2 linked regions of the Drosophila melanogaster genome follow. The protein of the gene in region 2 interacts with the protein of the main gene of each other region in a pairwise test. Each region holds a gene or a part of one and is shown on either strand. Other genes may lie near its edges.

What was found.
Region 1: the proteins of Den1 (region 2) and nom interact in a two-hybrid assay, tested with the Drosophila melanogaster proteins (2 studies listed by BioGRID).

Annotation. Positions count from the first base shown.
Region 1 is NT_033777.3:8,720,676-8,726,059, reverse strand, and holds nom (numerous disordered muscles), read right to left. Parts: upstream 2,887-5,384; 5' UTR 2,819-2,886; coding exon 2,699-2,818; intron 2,628-2,698; coding exon 2,110-2,627; intron 1,927-2,109; coding exon 1,678-1,926; intron 1,610-1,677; coding exon 1,384-1,609; 3' UTR 703-1,383; downstream 1-702. Other genes in the region: ouib (ouija board), read right to left, coding at 1-408, 457-576; CG8136 (uncharacterized protein), read right to left, coding at 3,134-4,437, 4,499-4,520.
Region 2 is NT_033778.4:12,336,095-12,340,396, reverse strand, and holds Den1 (deneddylase 1), read right to left. Parts: upstream 2,098-4,302; 5' UTR 1,978-2,097; coding exon 1,949-1,977; intron 1,865-1,948; coding exon 1,144-1,864; 3' UTR 853-1,143; downstream 1-852. Other genes in the region: CG8839 (uncharacterized protein), read left to right, coding at 1-504; CG34021 (uncharacterized protein), read right to left, coding at 2,856-3,059, 3,129-3,410; CG8490 (uncharacterized protein), read right to left, coding at 4,276-4,302.

The DNA of each region.
Region 1 (5,384 bases), on a different chromosome or scaffold from region 2:
GGCATGAGTCCCGCACAGCTCGCATATGTAAATCTGATCATCCAGTTTGGTTGATACTTTGATAATCTTTTGTGAAGGTACACACTTCTCATCTATTCCATCTTCCCTCAGCTGCGCTTTCGCATCTCTATTCAGAGTTTTGTCCATGGGCTCCTCTTCAATCAGTACCTGAAAAGTTTCTTCAACCAACTCGCCTTCTTTCTTTTTCCCAAAATCGCTGAATGCGCATTTTTCCGATTCCAGTTCCGAATTGTCATTGGTATCTTCATCACCCGACGAAGAGTCGTCCTCGATGGTTAGCCATTTAGTTTGGGTCTTAATGCAAAGCTTCCGGAATGCCAATGCCGATCTGAGTTCCGCCTGACAGCAAAGGCACATGAAACCAGGAACATCGTCCAAATCCACCAACTGGTGCTGATATTATTTATCTCAATTTTAAAACGTCTTTTAACTCACTCTTAGTCCGCTTATCATGTGCAAGTGCTTTAGATATTTTCGGTTGACCAAATCGAAGAGATTCAGGCTCTTCTCACAGATTTTCTGCCTTCCGCAGACTCTACACACGATGTTCAGCATCTCGATCACTAAACTCGACTGATGGAAAGGCAATTGTATGGTGATTACATTTTGAGGCAAACCAGATAAATTATTCATTCAAGGCGGGGATTTTTGAAAGTCAAAATCTTTATTTAAATAGCTATTGATCTGTTAACAACTGGAGCAGTCTGATAAAACAGATACTGCTTATAATATTAAAACTTAATAATAGGTGTAAATAATATTGGTCAAATCGTTAAGCTGAACCATTTCATGGGTGCTTGAAATAAGTACGACCTGCATGCTAATAATGCGCAGGATCAATTTTTGAAAACAAAACATATAGCTTCATATTTCTGTTTCGGTAAATCGAAATAATCCACGTAAAATGTTTCGTAAAATGTATTTCGAAAAAGATTTGATTCTAAATTCAATGTTCATTTTTGTACCTCATGTCTGAATATATTTTATTTTAAAACTAGCCCAATAAAGTATGTATGTATAAGATAAGACTATATAGGCACTTTTGTTATATTCAAGGAAGCAATTGCAATGCAGATGTAAATTACGCAAAAAAAAATAGCAAAAACTAAAATTTGCAATAACATGGCCACTGTAAAGTGTTTTTTAAAAACTACGTGCTAAAAAAAGCTAAATTTGTTCCCAAGTTGTCTCTTTGTTGCTGAGTTTTAAGGAATTACAAAAATGTCACCAATATTTTTAGACCCATATTTGATATTGTCTTTTGTGGTTTCAGCTGTTATTAAGTCTTTGTGGGTTAGCTCTTACCTAAATTTTTTTTTTTTTTTTGGTATATTGATAAAACATATGGCATCTTGAGATGTATTAAACTTCCTGACACAAAAGGTCGAATTGCGACTGCACCAGATCCTCGTCAATGGAAGTGGTCAGTGGAGTGCCTTGGGACCAGGTTTCATCCGATTCAAAACTGAGCATGGACATGTACTCCGACGACGAGGTGACGGCTTCAGCATTCCGCTTGTGGGTATTGGAGATGAAGTGCGTAGCGAGATGTTTCTTCAGGCTGAACGAACGATCGCAGACATCGCAACTAAAACGGGAATGAAAGATTATAACAGAATGTATCTCGACATGTTTTTTTTTAATTTCATCAAGTACCTATACTTCCTTACAACTTGGTGGACCGCCATGTGGGCCTTCAGAATGCAGGTCCTGGTGAAGGCCTTGCCGCACTGATCGCACACAAATGGTCGCTCGTTGGTGTGGACCCGCTCGTGCTTCTTCCTGCCCACCACGGAGAAGTAGCGACGATCGCAGTAGCGACAGGCGAACGGGGGCTCCAAGGTGTGATGGGTGAGATTGTGTGCCTTCAGCTCACTCGCTACCAGAAAGGTCTTTGGGCACTCCCTGAAAAATACATATTGCAGATACTGTACAAAGAAAAAGAATTTACATACATATGTATGTATGTAGGCACAATGTATGCTAATCAAATCGTGATAATGGACCAGATACGAAGAGATAAAGATAAAGACGACGGACCTATTTAAGTATCAGTAAATGTATATTTTCGTCGCGATTCTTACTTACTTGCAGGGATATGGTCTTATTCCATTATGTTCAAACTGATGCCTGACCAGAGATGATTTATTATTTTTGATAATTCCACAAGTATCGCACTTGTGGATTTGAACATTGGGTAAATCGTGATCCGACTCCAAGCCATCCTCATCCGGAAGATCTATTTCCTCCAGATTAACATCGCTATCGGTGGCATCCGGTTCATTGGAGATCTCCACCGGCTGATCAAATTCATCACCACCAACTGATTCACCTGCTGAAGCCTTACTCTCGTTCGTTACGACTATATCTACAATTTCCAGTGGCATCCTGGGTCGCCCCCTTCGCCGCTTGGTCGTTTTCTTCTTGGTTGAGGGATCATTGGGTTCCACCTTCTTTTCCTCGCTGGCTCCCACTTTATCACTTTGTAGCAATGGCACCCATTTCTTCTGCTGCAGGATGCACTGCCTCCGGAAAATCATGGCCGATTGCAGATCTGTCTGGCAGCAAAAGCACACCATATCCGGAGCATTGGGAATCTGCTGAAGCTGCAGAATACAAAAAAGGAAGCGCTCGCACATATGTAAATTGCGCGATCCATTTTGATTCCTTAACTCACGAGAATTCCGGTTATTAGTTGGATGCGGCGAAGAATATCCTGTCTGCCAGGTTTGAAGAGCTCCACGGCTTTGGGGCACAGCCTGCTCCTGCCGCAAACTCGGCACACATTTATTAACATTTCACGTTTTCGGTTTAAACAAATGAAATAAAAAGTTGTTTGGGGCTAATGTCCATTCACAGCGATGCGCACACACTGCCAGTGCTGTAAACGAACGGGCACATTAGATTTGAAATTACCCGCTAAGTTGAATTTCATATATTGCAGTTTTGATACTTATTTCTCAGGTAGTTAATAAAAAACCTAGATTGGGATGTCTAAATGAATTTCGGTTTTATTTGACTGAGTGTTTTGAACTACTGAGGCCAGGGCCATTGCCAAGTGTAAAATACCTTTCTGAATTTGGGGTCGAAAGAGTTAGGAATAAAGGAAGTCCTAGGCGTTGGAGCAGTCGTTGTCCTCGTACACCTTGATCATGTTCTCCTTGATCTGCAGTTCCTTGTGAAACAGAACCTCGCTGTGCAGCGCCTCCTCGCGTTCGCGGGCTATCTTGAGCTCGAGTAGATCGAGGCGCCGTTGCTCGATCATAACGCGATAGCGATGGAGCTCTTGCTGCCGCTGGCGGAAATTAGGCAGCTGGCTGGTACCTGCACTCCCGCTGCTGACGCTCGAGCACTTGTTGCCCCCAACTGCTGGTGATGGTCCGCCCTTCGTCCCGGCGGCCACCTTGCTCGTCGCAGTGCGCTGCCTAGTTGGAGACAGACTCCGCCGTGTTGCTCCCGTAAAAGAGGAGCTGGTGGGCGCCGAGACATGGACACTGATCAGTTCGCTGCGCGGATAGGGTCCTGGCTCCTGGACGGGACTGTTTTTGGGGACCTCCAGCTCGCCGGAGTAGCACGAATCCGTGTCGTTGGCCAACAACATGCGTCGGCGCTGGCCAAACCGAGGCTCCACCTCGCGCACCACACACGTCTGCTGCGGCGGCAGGCTGAACGTCTCCATCTTGAGGTCCGATACCAGTTTGCAGGACGTTGATCCCCGGGACGTGCTCGGGCATCGTTCAGGAGCCAGGTCCTTGATCCGCTTGTTTTTAAGCGACTCATGGGAGGGCTTGTAGCGCAATGCCAGGTTTGGCTTGGACGTCAGCACGACATCTGTGGTATTTTCGGGCTGCATTGCTGCAACTTTTCTTTCGCCACGCTGGCGCTTGTGGATACCATCGAAAAGACGCCGCCAGTAGATGATCGCCTGCTCTTTGGAGCTGATCTCCTTGGCCTCCGGCAGTGACGTGGCCGACGATTGATTGGCGTTCCAGTTTTGTTGCGGCAGGCTAACCGACATTTTGCCCAATCCACCTTGTTCGTTGCTGGCGTTCTTTGTTTCCGCCTCTTGCGCTAGCAACTGGCAGTTTTCGGTGGCAGTGCATCCCTTGGCCTCCGGCAGTGACGTGGCCGACGATTGATGGGAATTCCTGGTTGTTTGCGGTAGGCTAACCGACATTATGCCCAATGCACCTTGTTCGTTGGTGGCGCTCTTTGTTTCCAACTCTTGCGCTGGCAGCTGGCAATTTTCGGAGGTAGTGTGTCCCTTGGTGGGCACATCGGTCACCTGACTTCGGTTTAGGCTGCGCGAAGGAAGCCGCCGATAATTGACCAAGGAGTCGAATGTCTCCTCCTCCTCGTTGAGCTTCCACATGACGCGGCGACTGCTACTAGACATTGAACGTCCAAACCCCTCTTCTGGAGCAAAGAACACACATAGTTTTAACAACTTAAGGATGCCACACTCGGCTTGACTCACCCGACTTGTGGTTTTTATCCATGGAGATGGCTTGAGTTTTCCTCTGACAAATTAACTTCGCCACTGGCCTGCAGCAGTTCTGGTTTTGAATTTACAGAGCTTACAAATTTGGGAGGCCTGTCTGTGTGTAGCTGAATAATATCTGAAATTTTGGAGGCACAAAACGAAATACACCTATCATACTCGAAAAGATCTTATTGAACCCACGGCCTACTAATAACAGATTCCTTTTTCTTTTTTTCGATCTTTAATATTCATTTTCATCGAGTGTATATGTTCTTTTAAATATTGTTGTCGTTATTTTATTAACTATCCGTTTTACACGCGCTTTAAAAGTATGTTAACATTTTGCGTTTAACGAAATGACATAAATATTATACAGGTAAATTATTCAACGTAGGATGTGGCTTTGGTTTTCTTTCAGCTTCTAGCTTCCAGCTGTTTGGTTTCAGTAAAATTATTTCTTTTGTTTTAAAAGCATGAGATTTGTGGACTGTTGAGAGTTTTTGTTATCGATTTGTGCGTTATTTTGCTATGAAACCACACAAAGGTCTTATCAAATTATTACACAATCTTCGGTCTAGCTTAGAAAATGTTTGTGAACATTAGTGACTAGCATTGGAGGAGCTGCAATCCTCGGATCCTATCAGGCGGGGATAATTGAGCGTGATTTAAAGGGCGTTTCGAGTTGCCAATAGGCTGAATTGGGGAGAAGTGTAATGGAGGGTTTTCGCCTAGTTTTTAACACTCTATAAATGTTTTATATGATTTAGCTAATTTGTTGTTCGCTTTCTAGTAAACGGTTGCCCGCTCGGGTTTGCATTGTTTTTAGTGACGTCTTGAAAATGTTATTTACGCTATTTGCTAGGTTTATATAAAGTAGTTT
Region 2 (4,302 bases):
ATGCGCGACGACAGTGGCCATGGATTCGCCTACCAGCTAGGCAACCTGAATCATGACATCAACACGTACCTGGAGCTCTTCAAGTGGTTCTTCGGCGCTTCCAAGCACACATTCATTGGCCTGTCGACAGCTATCATGGATAGTGCACAGTGCAAGCACGGATCTCCCAAGTACGATCATCTGGTGCGCAAACGAAATGAGCTGAGGGAGGAGTTGCAAAGCCTGCTGGGCGATAATGGTGTGCTGATCTATCCCACGCATCCCACGGTGGCTCCATACCACAATGAGCCCATTACGCGACCCATTAACTTTGCCTACACTGGTATTGTCAATGTGCTGGGCTTCCCGGCCACCGCTGTGCCGCTGGGCAAGCTGGGCAGCGAGGGTCTGCCACTGGGTGTCCAAATCATCGCCAACTTCAATCAGGATCGACTTTGTTTGGCCGTTGCCGAGGAATTGGAGCGAGCCTTTGGCGGTTGGGCCAAGCCCGAAGTTCGGCTCTAGGAGCAGTCTCAAACGTGCAAGTATGCAGCTTAGCTAGCTTTTAGATAGTAGTGGTCAGGTTAACGTCCTGGTCTCCCCCCACCCATTACTAACTACCCCTACCCACCCGAGCATTCGCCTGGCGATGAAAGGTATTCCTTGTGTACTCCAGTGCCTCATTGTAATATCAATTTTCGATGTGGATTTATCTATTTTGTATGTGTTTTTAAATGTAATCTAATCATAGATCCGCGCGGATCCGTTCCCGTTTTGCATTTATAATAAATAATTGCAACCAACTGATATCTTTGTTTTCATTAATTGGCGACAGGCGCCCATTGACCAAACAAGCAGAGAAGTCAGAATTCTGAATTCGAAGCCAACGCGTTTTGTGGCTAAACAAATCTTTATTTTGAAAGACCAACCTTAAAAATATGCCGACTCACCGCCTCAATTGCTTTTAGTTTGCTTTTGTTTTTTAAACATTTTCATTCGGCAAGGAAAACTAAACCCACTACAACTAGCGATATCATGGATATCGTATTCACATATGTAATTCCGATGCTCCTCTCATTCTTCGGCAACGAGTTACATTCGTAATTTGGTCACTTAAAAACTACTCGGCTGTGGGCGGTTCGGCAGGGCAATCCTCGCTAGCCTCTAGCCCTTGCCGCCCAGCGACAGGATGAGTTTCAGTAGCTCGGTGCGCTTCGCCTTCACGGTGTCGATGTGCAGCGACGGCAGTCCGTCGATCACCTCGTATCTGTTTAGGTAATCGGCAATGTGGTCGGTCATGCAGATAACATGGATGCCACAGTCGTAGCCGTTCGCCTGCTGTAGGCAGCGCATGGGCCGGAATTTGGCCATTCGGACGCCAAGCAGGTCCTTGATCTTGTTCATCAGCTCCAGGGAGTTGCCCGTGTTGTTGTTCCCATACGAATCGAAGTGATAGAAGGTCTTCTCCGGACGCGAGAAGACCAACAGTGACCAGTGGCTGCCACCAGCATCGGTGGTTTCGTTGTCGTTCAGCGCGAAGAAGATAAAGGGCTTGCCAGTGGTGTTGCTCTGGTCGAGAAGCTGCTTCAGCTCCTGGTCGCCCATGTACTTCATACACTGCGTAATCTCCGGCGCAATGAAGTGCAGATCCGCATTGGTCTTGTACTTCATGTGGGCCAGGTATTCGTAGTAGAAGCTCAGGATCTGGTCGTTCAGCCAGTGCGGGCCGTGGAGCAACTGGACGTCGGACATCCGCAGGCAGGAGTCGTGGAAGGTCAGCGAGATGGGGTCTGCCTTGGAGTTGCTGCCCATTTTGGTATGGAAGCTATTGTTGGTGAATCTGGGGCGCCGGCGATTCGTATTCTGGTTCTGGCGTGTATGTTGCCTGGAATGAAAATAAATGGCAAAAAATTGATTTAAATCATGTTGTTGCGACTAGATTCGTGTTGTTCCAGCTGGCGACTATCACCTAAGTATTTTCCTATCGTGGGGCAACATTTTCACTAACAATCTTCGCGAAAATTCGGCTAAAAGAATAAAATTTTTCCGGCGACTAATACAACTCCAGGGTTTCAAAGTCAACGCAGGAATGACGTTTTCGGTTTCCTTTTGCTTTTGCTTTCCCTTTCGTTTGCCGGCCGGTACTGTTGTTATTGTTGTGGTTTCAAAGCAATCAGAAATCAGTCATGCCAAGCGCATTTTAAGAACACTATAATCGTATTTTAAACCAAAATAAACATATCGAAATTAACTAATCTTCGTACAAAGCTGTTTTGTTATTGTCTTTGACAACGAATGGGCGTAGCAAAACAAAATAGAGGACACTGAGGAGGTGAAGGTGGTGGTCAGATCCCCACATATATATTTTTTACTCACCACGAAAAATGGCTACTCCTCCTCCTCGAAGTCGCGACCTCGCTTTTTGTCCGTTCTTTGGACACTCCTCGCGTATTACCATTTATTTGGCTGTTTGGGAGCAAATAACTTGAATTTACCAACTGATATTTTCACTAATATAAAAAGTTACACAACACTCTGAATAGTTTTTCCGCTTTTCCGCTCAAATAATAAGTCGCCGTACTGTATATCTTACTTTCTGGCTTGGGCTGCCAGACTGCTCGCTAAATAGGTGGCAGTGCAGACTGTGAAATGCAGTGTTGCCTAATGTGGCAAAGTTATAAAAAGTAATTTAAATATGTATAATTTAATTACAAATATTTTTTATTCCTTTTAAAAAGTTTTTTGAATTTATTAAGTTCACATTTTTAACATTTCTTGCAATCTGATTTTTTTTTTTTTTGAATTTATTAAGTTCACATTTTTAACATTTCTTGCAATCTGAATTTTTTTTTTTTGAATTTATTAAGTTCACATTTTTAACATTTCTTGCAATCTGGCTTATAATTTTCAGGGCAAACTTGCTTTTCGGGTATGTTGAAACTCGCAGTGGTATTAAAATTAGTTTGGCATTTAGTTTCCGAAGAAGTCTCGCTGGATTCTGGAAACGGGGCACATCCTTCGTCAGGATTCCACGTACCCCCTCGCAACTGCTCTTCCAACCACTTAAGTTGCTTGTTTATCTAGAAAATTACAATTCTTTTAAGCGTTTTTTTTTTCATTTATGTAAATATGCAAACAAAAATTATTGCCTTTTCTACCATCTCCTCGTCTCTTTCGCTTCCAAATAAATTGGCTGTAAATTGGTAGATATTCGATGGCTTTGCCTTAACCGCCTCGGCTGTAATGACCCGAATTATGGCTCGGATCTCTGGATGGCGTTGTAGATATGTCCAATCGTCCTTGCGCATATTTCGGGAAATATTTCCAATAGTTTCATAAAATTTTGATACGTTTTCGTTAATGTTTTTAGCATGACTAGTATTTTCCGTGTTTTCGGTTTCCTCAGCGCTTGATGTTTTCGTGACATCCATATTCACTTTGCCAGAAAAATGTATATTTTCAAATTTTAATTATTTTGAAGTATTTCGTTCATTGGTGCTTGTGGACTTAAAACTCAACGAGTTTTCGATAACCAACATTTTGTACAAAATAGCCAATTCCAAGCTTAAAAATAAAAAATAACCCAACTCCGTGACAATGTTTATTTGAACATTGCCGTGACCAGGATTCGAACCTGGGTGTGGTAACCCACAACGTGGGGTCCTAACCACTAGACGATCACGGCTACATTGGATTGCGCCCAGCAATTCCAAGATCCCACCACGTCACCTAATAAAAAAAAATTGCAGATGTAATTAGTAAACACTACCCCAAATCAAATAGAAAATCAAATAATAAGATTAGCAAAAACATGTTTTATCATTTATTTATATATCATTTCAATTTGTTTAATAATTATTTTCATTTTCATCAAAATAATTAGAGTGTAAAAAAATACCCAACTCCGTGACAATGTTTGTTTCAACATTGCCGTGACCAGGATTCGAACCTGGGTTACCACGGCCACAACGTGGGGTCCTAACCACTAGACGATCACGGCTACATCGGGTGATGCGAGGTCTATGCCAAATGACTAATTTTAGCAAAGTGCGCAGAAAATCATAGCAAGTAAGCAAGCAAGTCGTAAATAAATCTGTTTAAGCAAAACGAATTTTAAATTGTCTTGAATAATATTGAAGAGGAATGTTTTTTAATATGTTGCTTCTTACAAATTGTGTATGTATGTATATATATAGATATGTATATTTGGTTGAACCTGAGTGTGTCGGGCTACCAAAGCAGCTCCGAAATCTTTTATTTTATTTAATGTTTATTTACTCCTAAAACATAATAATTCTACGGGTTTTTTGCCTTTTCAACTCC